Rattus norvegicus: one gene and its partners. The protein of the gene in region 1 purifies or fractionates together with the protein of each later gene. This does not show direct contact. Links are inferred from orthologs where the notes say so. Each region holds a gene or a part of one and is shown in the gene's direction. Other genes may lie near its edges.

What was found.
Region 2: the proteins of Fbxl5 (region 1) and Mms19 purify together in Homo sapiens (affinity purification with mass spectrometry; 4 studies listed by BioGRID and IntAct, counting the BioPlex papers as one, with this or other methods). This does not show direct contact. The link is inferred for Rattus norvegicus from reciprocal best matches to the Homo sapiens genes FBXL5 and MMS19.
Region 3: the proteins of Fbxl5 (region 1) and Aco1 purify together in Homo sapiens (affinity purification with western blotting; 3 studies listed by BioGRID, with this or other methods). This does not show direct contact. The link is inferred for Rattus norvegicus from reciprocal best matches to the Homo sapiens genes FBXL5 and ACO1.

The regions. Positions count from the first base shown.
Region 1 is NC_086032.1:71,552,590-71,556,234, forward strand, and holds part of Fbxl5 (F-box/LRR-repeat protein 5), read left to right. Parts: intron 1-870; coding exon of another isoform or gene 871-884; coding exon 885-1,033; intron 1,034-3,645.
Region 2 is NC_086019.1:250,740,647-250,744,938, reverse strand, and holds the start of Mms19 (MMS19 nucleotide excision repair protein homolog), read left to right. Parts: upstream 1-1,356; 5' UTR 1,357-1,378; coding exon 1,379-1,493; intron 1,494-4,292. Other genes in the region: Ubtd1 (ubiquitin domain-containing protein 1), read right to left, coding at 486-555. UniProt on the Homo sapiens protein: Key component of the cytosolic iron-sulfur protein assembly (CIA) complex, a multiprotein complex that mediates the incorporation of iron-sulfur cluster into apoproteins specifically involved in DNA metabolism and genomic integrity.
Region 3 is NC_086023.1:60,054,566-60,058,759, forward strand, and holds the start of Aco1 (cytoplasmic aconitate hydratase), read left to right. Parts: upstream 1-1,329; 5' UTR 1,330-1,446; intron 1,447-4,194. UniProt on the Homo sapiens protein: Bifunctional iron sensor that switches between 2 activities depending on iron availability. Iron deprivation, promotes its mRNA binding activity through which it regulates the expression of genes involved in iron uptake, sequestration and utilization.

The DNA.
Region 1 (3,645 bases):
GGAGATAATAATAAGATACCTGCATCCCATCCAGAAAGCTGAGAGTGGAGTTTGTTAATGACCTGGTGACCTTGCTGGTTGTGGAGGCAGACCACCACCCCCTTTTGATATAGAGACAGACCTCTCACTCAAATCCCCAGAATAATTACCCCAGACTCTTCTCCCTAGACCATTACTAATCCTTAGGGGAGATGGCATATGTACCTGCTATTGGTCAGAAACCACATTAGATTCTAGGTCTTTGAGCTATAGAACCAACCTTCATGGTGACATGAACTTTGTAATAAAGTTTCTATGTAGTCACACCTTAAGCATTATTGTGCACCTGGAATTGGCTGATATTACCTGGAAACCTTTTCCCAGATTGTACTGTGCTTTAAGTATGCCAGCAATGACTGCCTGGCGTTAGACGCCCCGCCGTCTGATCCAGGTTGATGAAGTCGATATGCAGTGGTCTTCATTCTTAATCTCTCTGAGTGCTTCAGCCTACTTCCCTGTCAGGAACTGCAGGGATCACCCCTCACTAACTTATGGGGGGAACTGGTAATTAGGTTTCAGATTTCAGTAATATTTTTTGATTTTTTTATTCTCTTATACAGCTTGGTGGGAAATGAATCTAGGTCTCGGTGTTTGTGTGAGAATTGTTACTGTAATGTTTTTATAAAGTGTCATATGCTTTATTGGAGTCTTGACAAGAAAAATGTAGAACATTTTCTTGAGTCGGATGTATTTCTGTCTAAGGAGGAGTCAGTCAGTTATCAGTGTTTTATAAAAATTCATAACTTATTGCCAACTTGAGAGTTAGTACAATACTAGTGGGCCATAGCAATATTAAAAATTCCAAAGATTACTCTTTCCTGACTGTCAGAGTATTTCTTTTGCAGGGTTCTGACTCTGGGAGGAGGACTGCCTTACTTGGAGCACCTGAATCTCTCTGGCTGTCTGACTGTAACTGGTGCAGGACTGCAGGATTTGGTCTCAGCATGTCCTTCCCTAAATGACGAATACTTCTACTACTGTGACAACATTAACGGTAATGCCTTTTAGCTGAGACATGTTGAAGAATTTAAGATTTTTGTAATTTTTTTTATAGTTTTTATTTCCTAACTGCACAAATTGTCTCACTTTCAGGTTTAGTCCTTTAAATTTAATAAATTAAAATGATTTGGTTCCTTAATCTAATAAAAGCAAAATGCCACATATTTTTACTTTGTGAAGGTAAGTTTCTTATCCATTGTACCAGAATTTTAGGCATGTAAGAGTTTAAATCACTTAAAAATGACAAATTGTTATAGAAATACTAAGATTACTTTAAGATTTTGGGAATTCCACTGTAGTATTCTAGCATTTACCCATGAATAACTTAAAAGTATTGATTTCTTAGGAATGACAGGATCACATTTTCTCACAGCACTGCTTTATTTAAGTTTGGTAGATAACAAAAGAAGACTTTGTTAATGGGAACTCCTCAGGAGGCACAGGCTTGACAGTTTCTATACTGTTTCAGAAGCTGATTCCTGAGCCAACTTAAAAGTCACGAGGCAGGGCATGGGATGTAGCTGGTTGGAAGAGTGCTTGCCCAGCATGCATAAAGCGCAGGGTTTAAGCCCCAGCATCACACAACACAAGGGTGGTGGCTCGGTGCTTGTCATTCACTTCAGCACTCTGGAGATAGTGTCAGTAGTTCAAGGACATCCTTTCTTTCAAGTTTAGCTTGGGCTATGTGAGACCCCATCTTAATCCCTACAGACACACAGACACAGACAGATATACAGGTACCACTAGTTAAACATCCCCCCCGCCCCCCCCATTTTTTTCTCGTCTGTTTTTCATTGAGCTTGTTCAAACATGCATTTTCAAATTATGTTTGTTGTTCTTTGGAGCATTTGATCTTATGTAGTAGAAACTGAATATTTCAGAAGCATAATAAAGCTGCTCCTTGATTATTAATAAACAGAACAAATCATCCTGCGTTTGTAACTGGAAACAGATTTAAATAGTCCCATTCTCTTATTCACCTATCTTTTATTTATACTGTATACTTTTGGTTTTGAGAGCCCAGTTTATTCTCAAATGAGAGGGGAGACCAGAGTTTATCTCAGGGAGAACAATCATGGATTCAGGGAAACTAGAGAGAATAATATTAGAATGCAGAGAAGTTAGCAAGTTTTCTATTGCTTAGAAGTTAGATTTCTCTTAAAATAAATGAGAAGAAAGGAGATCTCAGCTCTTATTTCTAGAAGAGTTGACATGTTCTTAACAGAAGCAACTTGGTGGAGCCTGTATTGCTCTCTCTTGATGGCAATGTAACCAAGCAGTGGAAAAATGATTCTTTTTAAATATCTAGCTGAACAAATAAAAGCAAAATTATGTTCATGAATGGAAGTTTTTGCTTACTGTTAAAAATAAAGCCATGGGGGACTGGACAGGTGACTCAGTGGTTAAGTGGATGACCCCATATTGCTATTACAGAGGATCAGAGCTTGCTCTCCCAATAGATTCATGTGGCAGGTCACAACAGCCTGTAACTCTGGCTCCAGGGGATCCAACACCCGTTGACCTCCTGTGGCCAATGCACTCATATGTATGTGTACCCGTGCACATGTCTATGCAGTCTGAAAGAAGAAAAATAAATATGGCTTTTAAAAACAAAGCTTCCTAAGCTTACAAGATTCAGTTTAAGATGAATACATAATTTTAATGAAGATATTTTATTTGTGTATTACATTTGAGTTGCTTATATAATTTTGGTGTAGGTTCCATTTGGAAACAAATCTCATAGTGAGTGAACTCTGTTTTGCTTAATGGAGATAGGTATTTGGTGGGAAGTGTAAAGACTTAGCTCAGTCTTATTATTTGCCTACTTACTCTGTACTTAACTGTTTTTAAACTTTTTGGAAAATATTTAGATGAAAAAGGTAAAGTGCTTAAAATCTTTTGTACTTTCTCAATATTTAATCTGTTTTGAATATATAATATTAGCATTCCAAAGGAGTTATTTACTCCTGTTAAATGTAAATTTTTTTATTTCAAATTTTTAGTAGAAACTTTTGAGAGATCCGACTTTTAAGGTTTGAAAGCTATTTACAGTTCAATAATACAAATAATACAATTCTAAATTTCCTTTCTTGATAGAGCATGATTTGGAAGAAATGGAAATGCTTTAAAGTTTATATATAATGCATTTTCTAGGAGTCTAGGTAGTTGCTTTTAAAGCAGTAATTAAGAGTCAGTCCTTTTTTGTAAAAGAATATACAATTTAGAACGTGCTGGAATTGTACCCACTTGTAAAAGGTGACACCATTGACATGGCTTCTTTGAAAAATACTCAACTTATACATGAAATACTTGTTGAGGGTTAAGAAGCGCTCATTTTTATTTCTGAAAATAGTAATAATCTAGTACATGGTTAATTCAGAGTAATGAGGAAGCACACATATTTGAAGTAACATTTAATTTAAAATGTATTTTGTTAAAAGAAAATCTACATGATTACCACATTGTTAGTAAAAGAAGTTACTGCTGATAAACTTTACTTGTAGACAAGATAGTAAACAAAAAGAGAGCATAGTCTGCCTCCTAAGCAAAGGCAGACACTGGGAAAGGTGTGAGCCATCAGCTATTCAGTGCTATATTGAGCAAGAT
Region 2 (4,292 bases), on another chromosome or scaffold:
GTCCTGCACTGTTTTTGCAAGTCTGATTCCCGCAGACAACGACCTGCAGCCCGATAATGACACAGTGACTCTCTGGAATGAGCGACTGTGTTCGCCTCGATCGCTCCGACTTCTGGGGACGCAGGCTGCCCACGCCGCGCCCCAGCCGGCCGCCGGCCGACCCCGGCCGGGGCTGCCAGACCAGCGGCGCATTCGCCTGGCCCCCTGCGCCAGCCTCGTCGCGGTCTGGAAACATTTCCTGCCCCTGCCCCCACTCCCCGCTTCCCGGTGGGAGCGAGTTGGCCTCGCAGCCGGGTCAGCGCTCGCAGTTACCCCAACTCGCTTCCCAGTCAGCCCGCTCCAGGGAGGGCCCCGTCTGGCTCGAGAAGCCATGGGGGAACCCAAACGCTGAGCGCCGAGCGAGGTCGCTCAGGAACCCCAAGGTTCGGGTAAGGCAAGGGCCAACTGGCAGCGCGCCGGGACCCCGTTGCCTTTCCTGGCGTTACCTGCTCGCTTGCGGGGGTGTCCCGGAGCAGCCGGCCTCTCCCGGCGCTGTCTCCCCACGCAGTTGCCCATGCTGGCTTCTCAGCCGGTCCCCATGCACCAGAGGCGGCGGTCGGCAGGCTGCTCCACGCTGCTGTCCCGAACCGCGGCGTCCCCGAGTCAATGGCTCCCGCAGCCCGGCATCGGGAGCTCCTGGATCTCCCCTGGGGCGCACTCTGCCCGACGCCGGCTTCGCCACAAACTTTGCGGGCCAGGGGAGAAGGAGGTGGCCAGGCCAGGGGGGCCCGCGACAGTGCCCGGCCAGAGACCAGCCCGGCTGGAGGGGCGGAGGGAGGGGGCGGACACCGTCGCAGCTACTCCGGGATCACTCGGAGCTCCCAGCTGGGGCCGGCCCCCCGGAGCCTGTCACTCACCTGCCTAACCCCGCCCCGGCCCGGCCCCGCTCCCTTCCTCCCGCTCGGGGTGCCCGCGCCACGGCCGCCAGCCGCCCCAGGTGCGCATGTGACCGACGGCACCGCCCCTCGGGCCGGGCCTGGTTTTCTCATTGGCTTCTCCTAGGGTGCGTACCGCCCCTCGGCCCCACCCAGCCAGGTGCCCGCCCTGCAGTCCGTCTCCCCGGGAGAGCCGCCGGGAATTATGCGCCTTCAACCGCCCCGGCTGCGTGCCCAGCAGTCACTTCCCCTCCCCGAGCCGCGCCCCAGCCCAGGCCCCGCCCTCTGGGGAGGGGCCGTTAGGTCCCTTAAGGAACCGCCTGGCCCAGAGCGGGCAGGCACGTGACCTGGGAGTGCCCCGCCCCCGAGGCCCGCGCCCAACTATTGGCTGTGGAGGCGCGTGCGCGAAGAGACGCATCTCGTGGCCACACCCACTTCCCCTCCCACAGTCTCTGGCTCGCGTCATGGCTGCCGCCACTGCTCTGGAGGAGGCAGCGGCGCCTATGGGCGCCCTGTGTGGCCTCGTGCAAGACTTCGTCATGGGTCAGCAGGAGGGGCCCGCTGACCAGGTGGCTGCAGGTATGGCAAGCAGCGCCGCGAGGCTTCTGCAGGGGCCGAACCGCAGGGAGCGGCCTCAGCACGGGCGCGCGGCGGGAAGGGAGTGAAGGGCGAGGTGATTGTGATTGGTCCTCTGGCCGCTCGGCCCCCACTGGGAGCGCTACTACCCTAACTAGTTTGCATCTTCCTTAAAGCCTTCTTTACATTTCGCATCTTTGTAATCCATAGATAATCATTACATTTCTCCGAGAGTAAAAGACTTGTTCAAGGCACAAACGAGCCCGGTAGTGGAACTGGGACTTGGACTTGGGTATTCAGGTCCAAATCTGGTGCTTGCACCGCAGGACCGCGTTGTTTGCTGAGTGTTAACGTGAGAAGGTTCTGTGTTTCAAGGGTTACACTTTGGCCGTCCTGGAAGTAGCGTGCGCTCCAACTGTCTGAGTGGTTGTAATTGGATGGAGGAGGGGAGGAGCCCGTCTGGCTCTAGGTCGGTGGGCGTGTAGATGACTAGTGTCTTTAAAACTTCACTAGTGTGTCTTAGTAGGCTTTAAGAAAAATTTATTTGTTTATTTTGTGTATGTGAGTACGCTGTCTAACACAACGAAGAGGGGATCGGATCTTATTACAGATGGTTGTGAGCCATCATATGGTTGCTGGGAATTAAACTCAGGAGCTCTGGAAGAGCTGTCAGTGCACTTAACCGCTGAGCCATCTCTCCAGCCCTAGGCTTTTTGATAAATTGTATTCATGACTTTTTAATGTCTCATTTTTTTATCCTTCTTCCCCAGAGTTCCAATTTTAGGAATCTCTTAGTTCCGAGTTTATCCAGGATTTGAACAAATAAAATTCCAGGGGGCCACCTTAGAATTCTTTCTGAATGGCATTCAGAGTCAGGTTTAAGAAATAGAACACAAAATAGATGTAGGGTTTTTTAAATCACGTTTGGAAGTTCATGAGAGAAGAAGTTTCTTTTGCAAATTAAACAGATTAACTTTTAGAAAATGTGAGAAATGAACTACTAGAAATATATTCTGGTCCTTAGCAATCAATAGTCTACATGCACTCTGCCTTTCCATTTCTGAGCACATATTTTTTACCCAGCATGAAAAGAATTGGGGACAAATAAACAAATAAGATACTATCTATGGTCACCAAAACATTATAATTAGTGAGAGAGACAACTGTGTTGTAAGAGGTAAGTATCAAGGGGGAAGCATCAAGAGGGAAAAAAGGTCTGCTATTGACTGGGCTTGGTAATGCATTCCTTTAGTTCCTGGATTTGGCAGGAGGGGGATGGCAAGTTTGCTACAGGCCAGCCTCAGCTACAGTGTGAGCCCCTATCTTATAAAAAAAAAAGCCCTGCTTAAGCTTGTAACATTTTACAACTTTATCAAGTATAGTCTGTTATGGGGTATTATCAATGCCATTTCCTCCCAGATTTTCCTATGGAGATTTCCCAGCATTTAACAAAATCTAAAGAATTTTAATCTTTATTTATTTATCTGTTTGTTTATTGTCTTTTGAGACAGGCTCTCTCTGGTAGAGAGAGCTTACAGTTCCAGGCTATCCTGGAACTCACTCTGTAGACCAGGCTGGCCTTGAACTCAGAGACCCAAACCCCTCCCTCCTGAATGCTGGGATGAAAGGCATGTACCATCCCTGCCCGGCTTAAAGAATTTTTAAAGATCATAGAATCACTACTTAGAACCTATCACTAACATTTTTTTTTTAATTTGAATTACCACAAACCTACCCATTTAAACTGCAGAAATCAATACATTAATCTCTAAGTTCCTTATTGAGCTTGTCATTGACTAGTGTTTACTTTTGGTTTATTTGGGGGTAAGATTTAGATCCAATGAACTATATCAGGAACATTGTTTTTCCCAGAGGCATATATTTACTTAATCCCACCCCCATACCAAGGTAAGAGTTACTATCTAATGCTATCTGTAATTGTTCTTCCACACTTGTGCACTCTGGGAACAATAATTTTGGGTTTTATGGATGCATATCTTAAAAAGATAACTTAAATAACTGCCTTCATCTTTTATTTTTTCATAAAATACATTTTTTTGTTTAAGTCTAAAAAGGGGGTAGCCTAAACTGTCATCTTGTCTTAGTGTTTCTATTGCTGTGACTAAACACCATGACCAAAAAGCAAGTTGGGGACAAAAGGGTATTTGGCTTACACTTCCACATCATAGTCCATCACTGAAGGAAGTCAGGACAGGACCTCAAATCTGGAAGCAGGAGCTGATGAGAGCCATGGAGGGTGCTGCTTACTGGCTTGCTTCCTCTGGCTTGCTCAGCCTGCTTTCTTACAGAAGCCAGGACTACCAGCCCAGGGATGGCACCACCCACAATGGGCTGGGTCCTCCCCCACTGATCACTAATTGAGAAAATGCCTTACAGCTGGATCTCATGGAGGCATTTCCTCAACTGGGACTCTTTTCTCTATGATGTTTCTAGCTGTGTCAAGCTGACACAAAACTAGTAGTACGTGTATGGTTTAAAATTAACTCTGTAGAACCCATCTAAGTGAACCCTGTTGTAATTGATTCCTCTTAATGAAAGGGAGGCTGGTGCAATGGAGTAGTAGTCAGTAAGGTTGAGTGGGCTGAAAGAGCTGGATCATATAACCTTGAACTCCAGCAGGAGAGTCTGAGTGGCTTGTTGTAGGTAACAGGCGTTCAGCCCTGTAAGCAAGGGCTGTAGAATGAAAGGAAATGTAGGAAGGATTAAGTTAGTATTCTTAGTCTCAACTGATAGAGTCTTTGTTGTCAGGTTGTGGTAAGTGGACGGTTTTGAACTGTCCCC
Region 3 (4,194 bases), on another chromosome or scaffold:
TACAGGCTAAAGACGAGTTGATATAAAATGTTGCATTCTGTGTAAGCTACAGAAATGTTGAGGTCCTGTTTTTCCGAGTATGTTCCTGATGCCACTTCCCGAGCTTTGGGCAAGTAAAGACAGAGAAACTCTCTTTTCAAAAGATCTGGGCGTGGTGTGGCAGGTGGACCTGCCATCTCAGTCGTAGGGAGTCGATGGTGGAAGGAGGTGGGGACACTGGAGGACAGAGATGACTGATTATGCAGTGTTCTGAGGCACTCAGAAAATAACGCCTGTACTTACCGCCCAGCATTTAAAAGAAAGGTGGAGAGAGGGCACTGTACAGGCTGGTTTTGTGTGTCACTTGACACAAATTAGTTATCAGAGAGGAAGGAGCCTCAGCTGAGAAAATGCCTCCATGAGATTCAGCTGTAAGGCATTTGCTCAATTAGTGATCAATGGGGAGGGCCCAGCCCACGGTGAGCCGTGCCATCCCTGGGCTGGTGGTGGTCCTGGGTTCTGTAAGAAAGAAAGTAAGCGGAGCAAGCCATGGGAAGCAAGGCAGTAGGCAGCCCTGCTTGAGTTCCTGTCCTGACTTCCTCCAATGAGTTGGAAGTGTAAGCCAAATACACCCCTTTCTCCTCAGCCTGCCTTTTGGACATGGCATTTCATCGCAGCAACAGAAATCCTAACAAGTCTTTTCTTCTTCTGGCTCACTGAGCTAGTCAGACACTTACAAGTCACACTCTGCCCCACGTGAGCGACAGTCGGCCTTCTCCCATGCTCCAGAAGAGGAAAAGCCTAGACACTTCCTGGGAGTGAACCACTAGCAACGCTAGATGCAGCCCCAGGGCCCAGTTTCTCCCGCCTATGGGGCGGAGCCACAAATATCAATGGCCTTCAGCTTAGGGCCTTTGTGGAGCAGGTCCTAGGCTCTGCCCCCACCCGAGGCCAAGATTCTCTGGATCTAGGGGCGGGGCCGGGTCCCGGGTCCATCCTCTCAGCCTAAGTCCCCAGGGTTGGCTCTGGGTTGGCCATGTAGGGACCTGGGATTCGTCCCTCAGTATGGCCTGCCTTCGGGCTCTGGAAAGAAGAGGTGTCCCAAGCTCTGCCCCTTGGCCGGAACCTCAAGTTCTGGCCCTTGGGGCGGAATAGGTCCTAGACTCCGCCCGTCTGCCACCGTCCGAAGGTTCGGAAGGGAGGGCGTGCCCTGAGCAGACTCCAAGCCTCAGCCATAGCCTGCAGCTTCTGAAGGGAGGAGGTGTCCAGGCTCCGCCCCTAGGGGCGTAGTGAGGCCCAGGTCCGGCCCCTCTCTTGCTGCAGCTGGTTCCGGCCCGCTCTCCCACGGGTCCCGCCTCGCAGCCGGAGCGTCCGGAGGACCGCTCAGGGGGAGGAGCGCAAAGTCGGCCTGGGTTCTTGCTTGCACCCGCCTGTGTGCTCCGTGCTCCGTGAGCCCCGCTGTGAGCGGTGAGTACCATGCGGCCCCGGGGCGTCCGTGCAGGCCTTTCCCACGGTACAGACCCGGGAACACCCGGCGATCTGCGGGGAGGCCGTGGAGCTGGCTCCTAGGGTGACCTCTCTGCCCGCTCCCCAGCCTGCGTCGCTTTGTACTGGGAGTGGCTCTTCTCGGCGCCCCGAGAGTTCTCGCCTTGGTGTGCGGGCCGCACCGCCAGGGTGTCAGTCTGCGGGGCCCGGCCCACGGGATAGAAAGGAGCGATTGTGCCCGGCATGTTAGAGACCCCAACACAGGGGAGAGACAGGTGGAGTGAGGGTGAGAGACCCCTCAGTGGAAGGGTTGAGCATAGAGTCCAAGGAGATCGATTGAGGAACCTAAGGAGAACTGGACAGTACTGCTCGGCCAGGCCAGTGCACTAGAACCGCACATCTCCCTGCAGCACGCATGACAGCCTCCAAGCAGAAGTTGCTTAACTTCTGGATTTAACACCGGCTGTGCACCTAAGGAACCTTTGTTATATAGATTGTACCTATTGATATTTTGTCGTGTATAAGTACAACGAATAGACATTTAATATACTTAATTCAGAATAGACCAATTATATTTCACATAACGGTGTGTGTGTGTGTGTGTGTGTGTGTGTGTGTGTGTGTGTGTGTGTGTGTGTGTTTAAATCCTGTATTTTCCCAAACACTGTTAGGGCATTTTTTAACCTTTCTACAAACCTCTGCTTCGAGGAAGACACTCAGCCTGTTGCGGTATGACATGTCATGTAGTTTCTGTATACTTTCAAGTATATCATTGAAAATGTAACATTGTGTTGTTTAGAACTGGTGTTGACAGTCCAGATACTTGCACCTGTGTTTCTCTGCAGCGTATTTTAAAACTACTGAGGCAGCCCATGCTTAGAAGGCATAGTTCACTGGGTTTGCCACTTTGTTTATGGTTCTTCCGCTCAGCACCATGGAGCTAGTTAACCTCTGATAGATACTCAGGAGCACTGTGGACCTCACTTCAGAACTGAGTACGAGATCCCCACAGATGGTGGTGACTCTTGGCTTCTGCAAACTCAATGCCTTTCATGTGTATCTTGGTTGTTTCTATGTAAACATCCATTTCCATGTAAGCATCGGTTTGCTGCATTGATGTAGCAAACCAGACCTGTGGGTTCGGGAGGTGTGTATGACTAGGCCATGCCAAACGTGTAGGGGTTGGTGTAAGCTTACCAAGTAACTGAGAGGTCATCTCTAGAATATCAGGTGGCACGTTTTTACCTCCTTTCCCCGATGTTCAGTTCTGTCTGTGGTTTCTAGCTTTGTATTTGTTGAAGTATGTGTCCCAGTCTCTGAATTCTGCTACTTTCACATTCCTGGTGAGCTCTGTGTGTGGTCCTTCCTCTGACACTAGAAAGCAGATGCCTAGCGTGTCGGTGTGTGATAGATGGAATCCTGCTTTAGATTCTTCCCTTTGTTGCATGCTGTCTACATAAATTTGAGATAGAAAATGTATACATATTATCATTCATATATATACATATGTATATATGTGTATATATATAGCAAACAAAGTTCTTTATCTTCTACCCAAAGAGGCTATTGTGTTCGGGTAGAACAGCTTAAGCACTTTGGACAATACATTAGAAATTATTTCTGCACACGCTGTTGCTCCCACAGTTGGGAAAAGGGGACTGGGATCTAAACTCTGAGCACTTGTGTTATAGTATAAGACTTCACATTGATGCTGGAGTCTCCCTTATTTGTCCCTGGAGTAGATCTATATCTCATCCCCAACTCTTCTGGACCTTGGGAAATTGATAATTTTGAAAGATGAAGGGGGTTGGGGATTTAGCTCAGTGGTAGAGCGCTTGCCTAGGAAGCGCAAGGCCCTGGGTTCGGTCCCCAGCTCCGAAAAAAAAAAAAAAAAGAACCAAAAAAAAAAAAAAAAAAAAAGAAAGATGAAGGGCCTGTCTGGAAGTCAAGAGCATAGGTGACAACTGTTCCGTTGAGATAATTTCCTCTCTGTTTGTGTACATGAAACATGGTCATGTAAGAAAAGCAATATCTGCTAGTAAAGTGTGCATTGAAAGCACATGCAAAGGAAGCCAGAGGCCTACATGGGAAGACGACAGTTGAGATAAATGGCATTTATTACCATGTGCCTGGCAAACAACATTCTTTGTCTTGTTTTCTCCATTCTTCTGTATTGTAGGAGAAAATACCTCTCCATGGGGTGGCTATGGTCTGGATAGGGAAATCCCTTCCAACCTGTGTCTGTTCTTGGCTTAGCCTTGTGGAGCTTCATTGATCTCTCAGAACCTTAGTGTCCCTGCCTTTACAACTAGGCTGTTGATAGTAGGAGTCCCAAGTACCCATGGTTTCCTGAGAGAGATTCAGTGTTTGTGTTTGTTTCTTCTCAACTCTGTGTTCAGCAGTGTTACATTTCTGTAGCTTGGAATAGGCCATGATGAGAATATTTATTTACACCATGGAAGTCATCCAGCACTTCATGTCTGAGCTTTTTCTACCCAGGAACAAATTGCTAAACATTTACCAGCACACTGCTGCTGTTGTTGGAGCCAAGGTGCATCTAATTTGTTTGGTTTCTTTTCTTTGGCAAAACCAGACCCCGTGGCTTGAACAAAGATACAAGGTATGGGGTGTTTATTTTGAATTTTCCAAATTTTTGATAAATGGGGGCAGGGGAGGCTGTATTTAAAATATACTGATATTGATCAACATTTTGTCTCTCTCTCTCTCTCT